Linked DNA regions of Yarrowia lipolytica. The protein of the gene in region 2 purifies or fractionates together with the protein of the main gene of each other region. This does not show direct contact. Links are inferred from orthologs where the notes say so. Each region holds a gene or a part of one and is shown on either strand. Other genes may lie near its edges.

The links.
Region 1: the proteins of YALI1_D04680g (region 2) and YALI1_B00280g purify together in Saccharomyces cerevisiae (affinity purification with mass spectrometry; 5 studies listed by BioGRID, with this or other methods). This does not show direct contact. The link is inferred for Yarrowia lipolytica from reciprocal best matches to the Saccharomyces cerevisiae genes RPB2 and RTR1.

The regions. Positions count from the first base shown.
Region 1 is NC_090771.1:26,224-29,288, reverse strand, and holds YALI1_B00280g (uncharacterized protein), read right to left. Parts: upstream 1,262-3,065; coding exon 512-1,261; downstream 1-511. Other genes in the region: YALI1_B00273g (uncharacterized protein), read left to right, coding at 1,914-3,065. UniProt on the Saccharomyces cerevisiae protein: RNA polymerase II subunit B1 C-terminal domain (CTD) phosphatase that dephosphorylates 'Ser-5' of the CTD and regulates RNA polymerase II during the transition from 'Ser-5' to 'Ser-2' phosphorylation.
Region 2 is NC_090773.1:466,044-472,053, reverse strand, and holds YALI1_D04680g (DNA-directed RNA polymerase II subunit RPB2), read right to left. Parts: upstream 4,033-6,010; coding exon 619-4,032; downstream 1-618. Other genes in the region: YALI1_D04653g (uncharacterized protein), read left to right, coding at 5,875-6,010.

The DNA of each region.
Region 1 (3,065 bases), on a different chromosome or scaffold from region 2:
CACTCCTGAACCCGTCGCTTTTTTGTTTATACCTCATCGTAATATACATTTGTTCCATATCAGCTAGTAGCCATATAAATAGGAGACGAGCGTGGAGGCCGAATTCCTGCACTTTGCAATGAGACCACTCGCCTGTTCATGGAGACGGTATTGGAAGCCTGACAGATCAGAAGATGATACTCTGGGAGATCACAGCGCAAGATAGAGAGGAGACCTAACTCCAGAGAGTCACCCATTCAGACACTAGAAATTATACCACCTCGGAGAGTGTGACAGTGGTGGGCAATGTTCCACTGTCTCCTGCTGTGGCGTATGTCTAAGCCGCTATGTGGAGCTGGGCGTTCTAGTCGAACATGTGGTGCACCTGTCAGTGTTGCCGAATCCAGTCTAAAACCCAGCTGTCACTGTTTCAGATCTTGTTGCGATTCCCGTCTCATGTTATCGTCAGGAATCCACAACTTGATGTCGACGTTGCCTCAACCTGTCATGATAGATTCCTCAATCCGTCTCGCTATCTCCACTGGATTCTCGGCTTATAGCCCTCAATAGCACTGGCCTTATCCTTACTACTCATGTCCTCCAACGACTCGTAGTCTGGCTCCACGTCATTCTCGTCGTCCTCGCGCTCTCTCAGCGAAATCTCCTGGATCTCCTTGCCCAGCTTGGTGATCTCGTCTCCGTTGGCAGGAATGTTCATCCTAGCGAGCTCGGGGTCCTTGAGCGACATCTGCGTGAACCCCTCCACAATCTCAGCCATGGATTTGCCCTGCTGGGCGTCCGACGTCAGTTCCTCCAGCAGGATGATGCTGCCCTCGTACTGTTTGCACGAGCCATAGTCGCCCCAGATGCTGCCTCGCAGGTCCAGAGGGTCCGACGACAGCTGTGCACGATAAAACTGGCTCGCCTGGTAGTGCTGCTTGCTGCAAAAGGTCCGCAGATACGCCCACGGCACGTCAAACTTTTGGTTCTGGGCCAGCGTGCCGAGAATCTTGTTTTTGCCCGACGCAGACTTGGGCACCAGTCCGCACGGAGGGTACCCGCAGATGTGTTCGTAAGTGCGTTCGCCAACCAGCTCGTCGTACACCTCGGGGGTGAGGTATCGCGACGCGTACTTGAAGGTCTGGATGTCGGTTTTCTTCGCCGACAGAGCCTCGATCACGGCGATCGTGATGAGTGCAGAAAGCTGCAGGTTTGGCGGCTCAGACCCCGTGTTTCCAAACCGAGTTCGTAGCTTTTCGATTTCCTCGCGTAGTTGCAACATGAATGTGTGGGGGTTGTTGTGGGTGGTGTGATTACGCGTCAAATGGGGTGTATTTGAAGCCGTTTGAAAAATTGCGGTCGTTTGGTTGCCGTCGTGGATGTGATTATCGGCGGTTTCGTGATTTTCTCGATTTTTTTCCGATTTTTGCGGTTTTTTTTTACCGCCACTCTCAATCGTGTTGCTGTCGTCTGCCTTGCTAGGTGGTCAAGATGCTGAGTTTAAATGGTCTGCAACAGAGACCAGTGACCCGCATTGCAGCCAGACGTACGTTAATACGACAAGAGACGGGGGGACAACTGGAGGACCATGTAGAGAACTAGGGAGATATCTCAATACACAAAACGACCTTGCTTGGTCAGCACATCAGATTGCCACTTTCAGAATTCGATTTCGACCAATATTGCGGTTTCTGGAGAAGTTTTTAGCACAAAGTATTAATCCGGTGTAGATTTGTAATTTTGATCAGAAAAGTTTCAAACATGAAGCTGCTGACTAATTCAACGTCTTATAACGTCCACATTCAGCTTTTTACTCTCTAATCCCCACCAATTACCGCCCACATCCACCCATGTATTTCCCTCTCACTATTGACGTCAGGCAGATGGAAACTTTAATTTGATGTCATCTCCTATTCACTGCAAAATCCCCCACAATGCGAAGGCGAACCAACACGTCGGCGAAAAGCGACCGAATACGTCCGCGGCGGTCTCTGTCGTCTCCGTCGCGTCCGCGGCTGTCGTTTTCAGACTTTGAGGGGTTTGAACGGCCCGAAAACCCGCCGGTTCCACGCTCATTATGGGACTATCTCCAGGTGCACCTCCAGGGCGAACAGCCGTACACCGAGGAGAAAAATGAGCACCTGCTGTCGCTTATCAAGGTGCCGCTGAATCTGGAGATGATCATGGCCTTTGGATTTCTCACTTGCCTCGACTCCTTCCTCTACACGGTCACAATCATGCCTCTCAAGGTGGCCTCAGTACTATGGGGCATAGCCAAACGTCGGTCGACCCGCCACGTGACCATGACCAACATGAGCGACATCATCAAGGCTGTGGTTGTCATTTCGACAATGACCTTCCTGCTGCTCATTGACACCTCCAAGCTCTACCACAACATCAGAGGCCAGAACGCCATGAAGCTCTACGTCATGTTCAACGTGCTGGAAATCACAGACAAACTGTGTGCGGCTTGGGGTCTGGATGTGCTGGAGTCGCTCTTTTCCGCAGGCACCCTCAACAACTACCAGCGACTCGCGACATACATGGGTCTGTACATGGCTTACTCGGCTGTGCATTCAGGGGTGCTGCTGTACCAGATTGTGACCCTCAACGTGGCCGTCAACTCGTACTCCAACGCGCTGCTGACCCTGCTGTTGTCCAACCAGTTCAACGAGGTCAAGTCGACCGTTTTTAAGCGGTTTGAACGCGAGTCTCTGTTCCAGCTCACCTGTGCAGATATCACCGAGCGGTTCCAGTTGTGGGTGCTACTGGTGTCCATCGGACTCCGGAACGTGGTCGAGGTCTCCAATACGGGTCTCGTTCCATCGTCGTGGTCGGGCTGGAATCGATGGCTAGGGGCTCTGCTGGGTCCTGCTCTAGTGGTGCTGGGCTCCGAAGTCGCTGTCGACTGGCTCAAGCACTCGTACATTGCGAAATTCAACAATTTCCGTCCCAGAGTGTACCGCAAGTTTCTGGACGTGCTCACTCAGGACTATCACGAGCATGCATTCAATGACCAGCTCATTACTCGACGAATGGGCCTTCCTACCACGGCTCTGGCGTGCGTCTTCATGCGCATGTGCTAC
Region 2 (6,010 bases):
ACCGTAACCGCCAGGGAAGACACGCAGATAAACTACTGTAAAAGGCTGTCCAGTTCTTCTGCTCTCTTCCGCTCAATGACTCCTGAGTCTCGAGTGACAACTACAGTATAACAGAAAAAGTAAATATCTGAATTTGTTTGAGAAGAAGTTGAAGACAAAGATGGGCTGTGTGGTCAGCGTGCTACTGTATGGTCTACTACTGTGTGGTCAGAGACATTGCAAGAGAGAAATTCAAGTCAAACCCCAAGGAAACGAAACGGAATACCACTTTCAATATCAAATGATTGCGTTATCGTCATATCCAGCACTTCTACAACTGGTATCATTTTTTTGTTGACATTTTTCTTTGAGCATCGATCCAGAACTACCTGAATCAGCATCAGTCAGTGTTATCAATGAATCACAGTACAGTACTGTAACCACCTACAATACATGCCCTACTCCAGAAACACTCAGACACCCTCCTGTTCCTCTTATAATCATACATTTATTCCAACCTCTAACTATTACATACAATACACGGAGACCAGGACCTTCCCTGGTTTCCTTACGGTGTGAGACTGAGATTCTGCTCTGCAGTTTCTAGTGGGAGACTCTTGGCTACGCCTCGAATCTCCTCTAAACTCTCACACTATACCCACTCCTATCGCTGAACAATCTCGGAGCAATGTTCATCGCCATCAGCTCCTGGAACAACAGTTTCGCAGCGTACGGAATCTGGACCTGGTAAATCTTGGTCTTGTTTCGGCACGATCGGCATTCAAACTGGTTCTTTTTCAGGTTAGCAATCACGTTCATGGAGCCACAGACACCGCAGACGTGGATTCGGAACGCATCCGACGCCTCCATGAGTCGCTCCTTGAGGAAGGCGGCAGCTCCATGGGCAATCATACAATCTCGCTCCATTTCTCCGAATCGCAGACCACCCTCTCGAGATCGACCCTCGACGGGCTGTCGGGTCAGAATTTGCACAGGACCACGTGCTCGAGCGTGGATCTTGTCATCCACCATATGACGCAGACGCTGGTAGTAAGTGGGACCCAAGAAACACTGAGCCATAATCTTCTTACCAGTGTGGCCGTGGTACATGACCTCAAAACCTCTGGACTGGTAGCCGTGGGACCGCAGCAGTTTGGAGATGGCGTCGACAGTCACATCCGTGAACGGAGTGGCGTCACCCTCCAGACCAGACAGACACGACACCTTGGAAAGCAGACACTCAATCAGATGCGCGACGGTCATACGCGAAGGAATGGCGTGGGGGTTGATGATGATATCGGGGACCACTCCCTCGGCGGAGAACGGCATGTCCTCATGTCGGTACGTCACACCAATGGTACCCTTCTGTCCGTGACGCGACGCAAACTTGTCTCCAATCTGGGGGATCTTGGTGGTTCGCATTCGCACCTTAACGAACCGCAGTCCCTCCTGGTTGGTGGTCAGCAGCACCTGGTCAACAATACCGTTTTCGGTCGATCGCAGAGGCGTGGACGCGTCTCGCTTGGTGTGGTACTTGGTTCGCTGACCAAGCTCCTCTGCGTCCGGAGGAATGGGAGCCGTCTTTCCAATGATAATGTCCTCACCGGAAACACGCACTCCGGGACACACCAGACCATCGTCGTCCAATTTGTCGTAGGTGCCGTGCTTCATTCGAAGAGTATCTGCCCGGGTAGGCTTCTCAAACTCCTCGACCACAGACATACCCACTCGTCGCTCCTGGTCCATGTACGAACGGAAGAAGAGCGATCGGAACAGTCCTCGATCAATAGACGACTGGTTCATGACCACGGAATCTTCCTGGTTGTAACCGGAGTAACACAGAATAGCCACAATGGCGTTCTGACCGGCGGGGAGCTCTCGGAACTTGAGGAACTCCATGGACCGCGTGGTGGCCAACGGCTTCTGAGGGTAGTACAGAATATTGGCCATGGTGTCCATACGCACGTCGTAGTTGGTGAGGAACACGCCCATGGCCTGCTTACCCATGGCTGACTGGTATGTGTTTCGGGGCGACTGGTTATGATCAGGGAAAGGAATAATGGACGCCAGAATACCAAGAATCATCGAGGGATGAATCTCACAATGGGTCCAGGTGTGCGAGTGGGGGTTGTATGCGGGCTTGACTCGTCTGGCGGGGTCAAGCTCGTCCTCAGGCATTTCCACGCCGGCCTGCATCTGTCGCGAGAACTCCAGATCCTCGGGAGTCATGGCAATCATGACCGTCTCTTCCTCTTCACCATCGATGTACTCAATCACACCATTGTCGACGAGCCAGTTCCAGCCCGTGTTTTTGTCGCCCTTGCCCTCGTCGCCCTCAGTCTCGGCCTGTTCGGCCATCTGCTGTTGCAGCTGATAAATGTGGTCCTTCTGCAGAACCAGTTCACCCTTGCGCTCGGCATCGGGGTTGTTTTCGACCACAAAAAGCGGTCGGTAGACACGACCGGCATCCGTGAAAATTCGAATCTCCTTTTCTCGGATATCTCGAATGATCGACACCTCGGACTCGATGTCACCCATTCGCCGCAGAGACTTGATCATGTCGGTGAGCTGGGTGGCGTCTCGATGCACGCCCACCCACACACCGTTGACAAAGACACGCGTAGAGGTGGTGTGCGTATGAGGCACATAGTCCTCCAGAGGCTCCATTCCCCACTCATCCAGGAAGTTGATGATGGGGAAGGAAGGGGTACCGACTGAGATGCACGACATAAGAGACAAGTTCTTGACGAGACCACAAGCCTGTCCCTCGGGAGTCTCAGCGGGACATACCAGACCCCAATGCGTGTTGTGCAGCTGTCGGGGCTTGGCAATCTTTCCGTCTCGGCCAATGGGAGTGTTAGTTCGTCGCAAATGCGACAGTGTCGAGGCAAAGGTGTATCGGTTAAGCACCTGGGAGACACCTGCTCGTGAAGACATTGCCTTCTTCTGGTCACCCCAGTTTCCGGTGGCCAAAGAGTACTTGAGACCGTTGGTGATGGTGTTGGACTTGACAGCCAGAGTCAGGTTGAAGTCCTTGTTGGTCTCGACACACTTCAGCATGTATCTGTAAATGTCCTTTGTGAGCTTCTTGAACAGCATTCGGAAGATACCAGCCATAAGTGGACCTGCGAGATCAAGTCGCTTCTTTCCGAAATGATCTCGATCGTCGGGCTCCTTTCTACCCAGAGCCACAAGCAGCATTCGATGCACCATGTAGCCCAGGAAGTACGCCTTTCGGGTCTCGAAACCCTCCTCCTGGGTGATGTGTGGCAGCAGTTCCTTCTGCAGGATATCTCGGGCGTATCGTACTCGTCGCTCTCGGTTCACACCGACGGCCGAACCTCGTCGACCAATATAGTCCAGAGCAACCTCTCGGTCCTGGATCACAAACGCCTCCTCGATACACGGCTTCAGCATCTCCAGCATCTGCCAATCGTTGTTGTCGTAACAAATGTGCTCGAGAATATCTCCGTCGGGCACAACGCCCAGGGCTCGGAAAACAACGACAATTGGAATGTCGGCCCGCACATAAGGGAGCGCGGCCTTGATGGTCACGGGGCCCTTGTCGCTTCGACCAAACATCTTGATCTGCATCGACGAAATCAGACGCGAGCCCTTCTCGACGGCAGATCGAATCTCGGCCACATGCGAGATGGGCGAGGGTGCAGCCTTCTTAAACACCTGCACGATATTGGCGGCAGACCGCTCCTGGGCAATAAGCACTTTTTCAGAACCGTTGATGACAAAGTAACCTCCCTGATCGTAGGGACATTCGTTCAGCTCGTAGAGATCGTTCTCCCGCAGGCCACGCAGAATGCAAAACTTGGACCGCAGCATGATAGGCACCTTGCCAATGTACACCTTGGACACGGGCTCCTCGACCTCACCGGGGATGGGGTTCCACACAACATCGGCCTCGGGACGGGCAGGGTCGTCAATAGAAAACAGAACCCGCTTCTTCATATCCACGTAGAGGGGAGAAGAGTAGGTCAGGTTTCGAGCACGGGCCTCCTGCGGGTACATGGGGTGGGTGGATCCATCAGCCTCGGTCATGGTGGGCCGAGACAGGTAGATTTTGCCAAACGTGATTTCGAACCGCTTGTTCTGGTTGTCGTTAGGGGTGGTGTGCTGGGCAGGCTGGTCCAGGATCAGAGTCCGGTCCTCCCACACAAGCTCCTGGATGGTGGTTTCGATGAACTCATCGAAGGAGTCGAGCTGCTGGGACACGAGTCCTTTTTCGTTAAAGAACGAGGAAATGACGGTCCAGCAGTCCTCGGCGGTGATTTCCGTATCTTCGTAGTATCCGTACGGGTCTTCGTATTCTGTGTTAGCAGCAAGATAGGTGGATGGGATCTGCGCTGTTCGATGTATCGCCCGAGCCAGCAACTGTTGCACAAGACCGCACAGCTACCTGCTTGTGGTCATTGGATGGGCACCCGGACCAGATGTACTGTGATCATCAAGCCAACGACTGGTGGATCAAGACGCTGTGACCGTATTGACATCTTTAGATGGAGCTACTGAAAACAAAGTGAGCGAGAAACAAATACATCAATGTGTGTGTCATAGCTGTAGCGACACCTGGTCGATGTCGTTGGTGGCAAATGACTTGACGATGATCAATGTTCGACTCCGTCATAACATAGAATGATATGTGATAGGTGGCGAATGGCTCAAATCACCGTAGAAGCATCGTTTAAACGTCTGTCAACGGCGAGAAGCCGACGGTGATTCCCTCCATCGCTTTTGTCTCAATCCCACAACAATAGGTCTCTGTCATCGCTGTTGTGCCACTTCTCACAAACCATCTGATCCAGCACTTATCACTTCGATCACTGGCCCATCGTAGGCCTCCGGGCCACGTGACTCTACCACTCGGTCATATCTCCGACTTTCCGATCTCTCGCGTACTCACCAGACATGTTGTTCACCCCTCCAGTGCTGATTGAAATCCTGTGTCGCCTTGTTCGAGAGAGAGCTTGTGTGCACCCGTCGTGACGGCCGGGTAACCCCGAGGTTGGTTGGAACTAAAATAAAAGTTTTTGGCAGAGTCGAATTTGATAGAGTTTGTCAAGTGTGGAGGCAGTTTTGGAGATAGGAGACTGGAGAGGAGAAGCCTTTTTTTATGTGTAAGAAGAAAGAGTGATATCGGAATGCGAGGTATTTGTTTTCCAATGGTTTCGTATCAATTAATTATATATTTTTTTCGAATTTATACAAATTATTCATATTTTTCAAAGTCTCAAAAAAAATGTTCGGCCACTATTCCCTCCCATACTGTATACAGTAACATTTCAGTTGTCTTTCTGGGAGGTTGCTCACCCTCAAAACAGCTCTGATAAAGTAATTGACCAACTGAATTCTGAGTGAGAGGAATATGGGTGGACGATTGAGAGCTTTTGAGAAATAGTGACTGATATAAAAACGTTCCAGTAGGCTGTGAAAGATATGAATTTTTAATCCCTTTTTCCAAAATTCCAAAAACACATGAAATTGGTGAAATTCAACTGAAACACGGATATATGAATTGTCTGAGAGCATTTTGCCACAGAAAAAGTACAGAAAATAACTAATGTTTGGTACTGTACCAAAATTATCGTCTCGATCTTCCCAACATTATGTATTAATCGCATCCAAGGTCCGCTTTCGTAGCCCCCATTAGTGCTGTGAGCTATCATTTGTTTCCACTTACATAAACGTACCACCTAAACCCCATCTCACTACTGTATTGATACCATCGGTACAAAGCAGTACAGTATGTACTATATTGTACTTGTTGCTAGCATGTGTTAGCATCTCTTCATGCTACCATCTTTTCGTGCTACCATCTTTTCGTGCTATCATATCTTCTGCTTTACTCCCCCAGCTCTCTACTGTATGTACTATAGCTACAGTATGTACAGTACATACTCACCCATATACCACCTTAATTGTTTCGATTTCAGCTCACACTTCACCATTGCTACACTTGCTGCTATGTCGTTCTTCATGGAAAATCTCGATGAGGACTCGGAGTATGGCACGATCGACA